2 linked regions of the Canis lupus familiaris genome follow. The protein of the gene in region 1 interacts with the protein of each later gene in a pairwise test. Links are inferred from orthologs where the notes say so. Each region holds a gene or a part of one and is shown on either strand. Other genes may lie near its edges.

Region 1 (3,742 bases):
CAAATCGGAACACAGAAAGCTGTGGATAAGTGATCTAGATACAAATCAGTGGGAACTAATAGGAAAAAAATGAAAGCAATTTAGCAATATAGGTTTGAAAAATTTTGAGCAACAGATTTTGGTTCAAAACAAAACAAAACAAAACACAACACACCAGAGGGGCAGCCCAGGTGGCTCGGCGGTTTAGCGCCGCCTGCAGCCCAGGGCGTGATCCTGGAGACCGGGGATCGAGCCCCGCGTCGGGCTCCTGCATGGAGCCTGCTTCTCCCTCTGCCTCTCTGTGTCTCTCATGAATAAATGAATAAAAACTTAAAAAAAAAATAAAGCAATTTAGCAATATAGGTCTGAAAAATTCTGAGCAATAGATTTTGGTTTAAAACACACATAAAAAACAGGAGGGGCAGCCCTGGTGGCTCAGCGGTTTAGCGCCGCCTTCAGCCCAGGGCGTGATCCTGGAGTCGCGGGATCGGGTCCCACATCGGGCTCCCTGCATGGAGCCTGCTTCTCCCTCTGCCTGTGTCTCTGCCTCTCTCTCTCTCTGACTATCATAAATAAATAAAAATTAAAAAAAGAAAAAAAAGAGAAAGAAATGAAGAAAGACGTGCGGCTCCGAGCTCTCTCCACAACCAAACCCAAACAGCCGAATTTAGATTCCCCAACCCCCCGCCCCCGTCCCTCCTCGGACCCCGAGTAGCCGCCCCTCCCGTCCTCCCAGCGGGACGCGGAGGGCCCGCGGCAGGGTAGGCAGGTGGCTGGGCATTCACGGCCGACACTCGCCTCCCTCCCGGGAGCGCCCCTCACCTCCAAGTGCCGCAAAAGCTGGGTGGCATTCGCCTCCGACTTAACCGCTTTGTACTGGCTGATGGTCAGCAGCAGAGACTTCAGGCAGGCGGTGGAGTCCATGGGCGCTGCCGCCGCCCGCCCGCTCCGGCCGCCAGCTCTCGCCGCGCTTCTTTTTTTTGATTTTTTCCAGCTCCACCCCCTCACTCCCGAGGTTTCCGGTTCCGGTAGCGCTCCGGAAGTCCCTGGGCACCCTGGGGGAACCGCTCTCAGTGAAGAAAGGCGGGGGGGAGCGGGGGGGCGGGTCGAGGAGGCGTGCGGGTCCCCGGAGGGGGCTGAGCGCTGTCCTTCCAGAACCCCCTTCCCGCTCCCCACCCGGCCCTCGCTGGAGCCGAAAAGCCGCGAGGTTTCAGCTTCGAGATCGCGTGGAGGCGATCAATCTCGCGAGAAACGTGACTGCGGCTCAAACTTGCGAAGGGGCGGTTGGGCGCCGGCGGGGTCCCGGTTGCGCCGAGCTCTCGGTGTTGGTTCGTTTGCTCCTTCGGCCTTGCCGCGGGGTGACCGGCTTTTTCATTTGTGCGTCAGCGTCTACCTGAGAAATGGTCGCTTTTCCCTAGTCTAGACACGGTGAGGAGTTCTGAGGAGAATACGGGGCTCCGTACTGTGAGGCGGCCGGGGAGGGGCCTGTGGTTAAACTCTCCCCCACGTCCGCCCCGTCTCCTCAGGAATGTTTGTTTTTCAGAGCAAGCCTGTGGCCGTGGGATTCTGTGGCGCGGCCGTCCTGCCCTTGAGGTAGTCGTCCGGCTTCTCCCAGACAGCCAGCCCCGGGTGACTGCTGGGCCAGGCGTTGCTGCCGAGGGTGTTCCCACGAGCGTCAGTATTTTTTTTTTTTTTTTTGTAAGTGGAGGTATCTTATTATTACTATTTTTTTTTAATCCGGCGTGATCAATTGTTTTCCGAATCTCGGTGCCTGTGAACAGGGCACTTCGGTTTGCGGCGCTGTGATACGAGAGAATTCTTGTGCATGTGTGTAGACGGTGAACGAAGTAGCTGCTTCTGGAGCGTTCTCTCTGCCTGATGTCTGCTGACGTTGAATCGAGCCTTAAAAACCAGTCTGGAGAAATTGCTAAGAGTACATGTCCTTTTTATTTATTAATTTATTTGGCTTTTTTTTTCTTTTTAATTTTTACATGTCCTTTTTAACTAAATCATTCGTCATTAGTCTTTGTCAAGTCAAAGGAAATATTTTCTACATCACTCTTTAAAGGCAGTACTTCATACATTAAAACATTTAGCATCACTGTTTTTTTTTTTAAAGCGGTCCTTTTTATATCAAAACATTTTTAAATGTGAAGGTCTTAAAATAATAATGTAAAAATAATTGGGTGATTCATGTATCTATGGGTTCATTCATTCTGTAAACAATTGGTGATGTATGATTGAGGGTTAGAAGTGGCGAGAAAACAAAGATGAAGTATCCCCCTCCTGGGAAGCAACTGTCTAATTAGAGGAATGTACTAAATAGGGACTCCATAGGGAATCCACCTGAGTTCCGGAGGCTCCTGAGGTTATGTCAAAGAGCGATGCCAGGCTGTGTGCTGACAAACTCTAGTTCCACCTTTTACAATGTGACCATAAGGCAGACTCTTCACTGCTTCAGTTTCTCTCTTAGGTAAAATCCCAGCTGGCAGTAGTACCTGTTTAATAGGATAAGGTCGGTAATGAATGATTGATGATCGAGAGCCTGCAGTGAGCCTGCAGTGTACGAGGTACTTGTCTAGGCACTAGAAAGAAGATTTATTGAATAAAAAGTTCTATGTTGAGATTACATTCTAGTAGGGGTTAAAAAAAAAATGAGAGTGAGATGGAGAAAGAAAAAGTAGCAGAAATTCTTTTCCGAGAGTAAAAGTGTTTATGAAGAAGGGAGTTGGGTGGTCAGGATAGAGAAAGTGCTTCAAGGAGTTGAAGGACAGAGCCATGCTCTCCGGGGAGAGGGTCCTGAGGTGGGACTAGAAGGAAGTGTGTCACGGATGGCAAGGATGGATGCTGCACTGAATGGAGTAGAGAGCAAGGGTGAGCGTAGCAGGGAAAGTGAGGTCGTGTCAATTGGTGCAAACCATTACGGAATGAGTTAATCAACTTAAAAAATTTAGAGCGGTTGACTGGCATAATTCTGTTCCCAGCAGGTGTTAGTTACCTCCTGGTTCATTGGCAAATGCAGTGATAACAGGTTAATGTTAGACTTCTCAGTAATAATAACAAGTGCGTCATCTTCATACTTAATTCTGAGCCAAGGGAAGATGCCAAAGCTGCCAGTCATAAATGCCTTCTTTCTTTAAAACCTTGCACTTTAACTGAGGCAGTGATAGAAAATTTTCATTCTCTTCTGTAAGATATTCATCTTTAATATAAAATAGTGTCATTCTCAAAAATCTTCAAAAATTGACGATGGAAGTTTAGAAGGATGTACCACGATGGTAGCTGTGAGAAGCAATAAAGTATTGAGGCAGAGATACTCATATATCCTAATGTGAGAAACACAGAGCCTTATTTTAGGCCCACAAAATAAGAAGGAGGAGGAGATGAAGCTGGGTCCAGATGACTAAAGACCTTATTATTCTTGATCGTGAATTCAGTGATTGCTGGCTTAAAAATGGGGCCTTGATCTCTTTAGGGTTGTGCTTTAGGTTGATTACTCTCGCAGGTGGGTGAGCTATGATTTTGAGATAGATAAGGATAGAAGTAAGGAGGATGTTTAATTTGCTGCAGTCTTTCCAAAGGATTATCAGGATAATTGAAGTGGAAATAACAAAGAGGTGATGACAAATTTGAGAAATACAGATGAGGTGAAATAGGCAGGACTTAGTGACTCATTTCAGATGTGAAGAGGGATTTCACATTTCTGGTGTGAATGATTGAGAAGATACGGATGTTGCTGTGGTAGTTAATAATGTATTTTACG
Region 2 (3,742 bases), on another chromosome or scaffold:
GCTCTAATCTTTCTTTCAGGGAGGCTCTCAAAGATTATTGCATTGTTGGGCAGCCCGGGTGGCTCAGCGGTTTAGCACCGTCTTCAGCTCAGGGCCTGATCCTGGAGACCCAGGATGGAGCCCCACGTGGGGCTCCCTGCCTGGAGCCTGCTTCTCCCTCTGCCTGTGCCTCTGTCTGTCTCTCTCTCTCATTAATAAATAAGTAAAATTTAAAAAAAAGGATTATTGCATTGTTGATCAATAATGAACAGGGAGCCCCTCGAAGGGATCAAAGAGCCCGTGTAGCTTGAGTCTCTCTTAACGGACTATATAAACATATCTTCTTGGACCTGGCTTCACAGTCCCTTAATTCTGAAGCACTATTTTTTGTTACCGTTTTAATATTTGCCTCAGATTGGCTGCTTGCATTCTCTCTCCAGAACCACTTTTCTACAGTCTGCTATGATGAAGTCATTGTGGAGTTTTGTGGGAACACCTACCTGATTTTTGTAGGACTCATTTTCAGTAATTTTGCTTTAATTTTCTCCTTGTACATTTTCACCCCCTCTAACAGCTCTTCCTTTCACTTTTCCCATTTTTCTTTCCTAGAATCAGCTTTTGACAAACTGCTTTTTACTGTCATCCGCTCATAATCTGCCACTGCTCCAAACATTCCCTTAATTTAACCAGTGATTTTAAAATAATCTGTTCTGTGAAACCTGTGATGAATGCCTTGATCTCATCCTCTTTATAAAGAGTCTCCAAAAATTAAAATGGTGATAATTACTAACTCCAGAACACATCAAGAAGTCTCCACTGCTCTCAGGCTGGGAAGCCATTTCCACCCAGCCTTTAGTTTCAGGTGTTCCCTTGGGTCTTCTGGGTCACCTTCAGAGACCGGGGACTCCTCAGCCCAAGTAATCAACATGTGAGCAACCTCAGTGAACATGTTACTCCTTCCCTAAATTCTGCAATCGGAGCCGCCTTTATCCGTCTCGCTGTTTTCGGTTCCCTATTTTCTCCTTGGCAGGAAATTACTCTTTTTTTTCTCTCACGCTGATCTTCAATACCGGAGTCCTTGAGGTCCCGGTTTAGGGGGGGAACTCTCCCAGTCAGCATCTCCCGGAGCTCAACGCTGCCGCGGTCAGACCCTCCCCCGCCCTGAGAAAGGGCTGGCGCGAGGCAGCGGCTCTCCTCTCCACAGCGTCCCCTTCCGCAGGCCCCGGCCCTGCCCCGCGCCCCGCAGACCAATCCCTGGCTCCGCCCCGGGAGCGGCACAATGGCGCCCTCGCGGCCCCGCCCCTGGACGCACGCCGCGGAGGCCCCGCCCCGCCCCGCCGCGCTCCTCGCGTCCTTCCGGCTCCGTGGTGGAAGTAGCCCTTCGCCGCGTCTTCCTGGAGAAGAAGGTGGGGTTCCGCGGGGAAAGCGGCCGGCGGTCACGCCAGCAGCCGGAAGTGGGGTGGGGGCGCGGGCTCTCCGGGCAGCGGCCCTCGGGTGCTGGGGTGCGGCCGAGCGGGGACTGGGCGAGCCCGGAGCAAGCGGGCTGCGGGAAACGCCGCGTGCGCCCGACGGGCGGGAGTTGTGCGCCGGGGCCGGCCGCGCGCCAGGCCCCGCCCCTCGGGGCCCCGCCCAGGGCGCGCTGCCAGGGGTTTCCATGGTGATGGTAAACAAGCCTCAACTGCCTCAGCTACAACTGCCAAGTTCCCCGCGTTCCACCCTCCTCTAGGTGCTCAGAGGGACGATCGAGGTGCCGGATGTGAAGAGCGGGAGCGTGGAGACCCGGAGCCCGAGGTGAGGGGCGGGACGGGCGGCGGGTCGGAGGCTGAGGGCCGCACCACTGGGACGGACCGAGAACCGGGCCCTCTGGGCTGGGGGCGGCGGGGCTGGGATACGGATTTGGGGGAGGCTAGGTCTGAAGTCAGGGGCCTCACCCACGGGGACCGAATGGGCATTGGGCACGCAGGGGCTGAGGGTTGGGGTCGGGAGAGGCAGGGGCTGAGGTCAGGGACTGGGCCCCCTGGGGCTGAGAATTGGGGTCACGGAAGGTGGGGTCAGAAGTCCACGGCCGTAGAGTCGGGGACTGGACCCCTGGACTGAGATCGCGGGTGCGGGGAGGCAGGCCTGAGATCAAGAGCCATCCCCTCGGGGACTGGACCGCTGGGCTGGGATTCAGGGCCGCGGGAGGCAGGGAGGGAGGAAAGGCCTGGTGCGGCCTCCGGGGTTAGCAGAGCTTGAGCGCCCTGCCAGAAATAGCGCGAGGGCACCTGACGACCGTGGGAGAGGGGCTTCATTTAAAAATGAAAGCAGTACTTTCACGTGGTTGAGTTGCACCAGACTGGTTGGCAACTGACTCCTCCCCCCTCCCACGTTCCCGCTCGCTGAGCCTCCACTTTCGGTCTTTGAGGCCTTTTCTTCCTCTCGGTGTGGCGTGTGAGTGCCGAGCGCCGGTCTCCGTTTTGTCTCCTGCTTTTAGAGGTATTGTGTCTGGTTTTTGGGTAGAAACTCTTTGGTTCTCGTTATCTCTGCCGGGTGACCACACTTACGCGGAGCGAGCTTAATCGGCCGTTTCTTTTTCCCTTGCCCTTTATTTCTTTGTATCCTTGAATGTATTTTTTGCTGGTTCTTGACTGCGCCTAAGAAACTTCTGGACTCTGCCGGCGCTTGCGCTGCGCCCTCTACCTTCGGTGTGCCCGCGTGGGTCCCTGAAAGTGGCGCCGGGCGGCCTGGTGACGCCGGCAGAGTCCGGGGACTCGCCCGACCCCGTCTTTTATAGACCGGGTTAGGAGGCCACAGGCCCCTCCCTGTTGGTCTGTTCCCTTCAGGAGCTCTCAGGTTCTCGCCGGACAAATCCCCAGACCCCGGAGAGCCCCTTCCCCAGCTCCAGCAGGAACCCCCTCCCCCGCCGCCCCGCGTCCCTCGGGCCGGGCCCGCCGGCCGGACTCTCCTCGCAGTAGTTCCCTTCCCCCGAGGCCTCAGGACGCAGGAACGTGCTTCCTTTAGCTCTCACAGCTACCTGGGGGTGTCCGGGCTCCTGTCTGCCCCGCGGCCGCGTGCGTGGCGGGAGCGGGGTCCGCGAGCTACGGCTCGCTGAGTGGGGGGAACCGCCCGCCGGGAAGGGGGCCCCCGAGGTGCCCAAGGTTAACGCCGCGCCTCAGGTCTCCGGAAGTTGGTGGCGCTGGAAGAGCTCTGAACACTTCAGATACTCTTTCAGTTCAAAACGTGGTCGAAATTCCCTATCTTAAATGTAATTCTATTACTTACAGTCATTTTTTTAAAGGTTAACGGTTTCTGAATTTCTAGTAAGAATGAAAATACTTCGGGTTCTCCGGTTAGACAAAAAAATGCGTTGGGGTATGTCAGTGAAAAGTGATGTTTTCAGTGTTAATTTCTAGTCAAGATTCTTCATTTTGAAGTGAGTAAATTTCTACTTATGAAGTTTGGGAGAGGTTGCTGATGTTACTAATTACTGGTCTTTAAGCAAGCCCATCTTTAGTCATCTCTTGTGCCTGTATGCATTTCTGTAATTTGATTAGATTTATTACATACTAGGTCTTTTTTATTTTAGGTTTTAAAATAATTTTTTAAAAAGATTTTATTTATTCATGAGAGGCAGAGACACAGGCAGAGGGAGAAGCAGGCTCCTCACGGGGAGACCGGGGGAGACCGATGTGGGACTTGATCCTGGGTCCTTGGATCACGCCCTGAGCCGAAGGCAGAGACCCTCAACCGCTGAGCCCCCCTAGGCGTCCCTAGTTTTTAAAAT

The links.
Region 2: the proteins of DZIP3 (region 1) and HNRNPF interact in binary tests that used the Homo sapiens proteins (3 or more experiments, as listed by UniProt). The two-hybrid records come from large-scale screens. The link is inferred for Canis lupus familiaris from reciprocal best matches to the Homo sapiens genes DZIP3 and HNRNPF.

Annotation. Positions count from the first base shown.
Region 1 is NC_049254.1:14,356,020-14,359,761, forward strand, and holds the start of DZIP3 (E3 ubiquitin-protein ligase DZIP3), read left to right. Parts: upstream 1-1,033; 5' UTR 1,034-1,407; intron 1,408-1,522; 5' UTR 1,523-1,653; exon of another isoform or gene 1,654-1,677; intron 1,678-1,719; exon of another isoform or gene 1,720-1,912; intron 1,913-3,742. Other genes in the region: protein CIP2A, read right to left, coding at 802-903. UniProt on the Homo sapiens protein: E3 Ubiquitin ligase proteins mediate ubiquitination and subsequent proteasomal degradation of target proteins.
Region 2 is NC_049249.1:3,803,388-3,807,129, forward strand, and holds the start of HNRNPF (heterogeneous nuclear ribonucleoprotein F), read left to right. Parts: upstream 1-1,297; 5' UTR 1,298-1,385; intron 1,386-1,699; exon of another isoform or gene 1,700-1,705; 5' UTR 1,706-1,770; intron 1,771-2,309; exon of another isoform or gene 2,310-2,454; intron 2,455-3,742.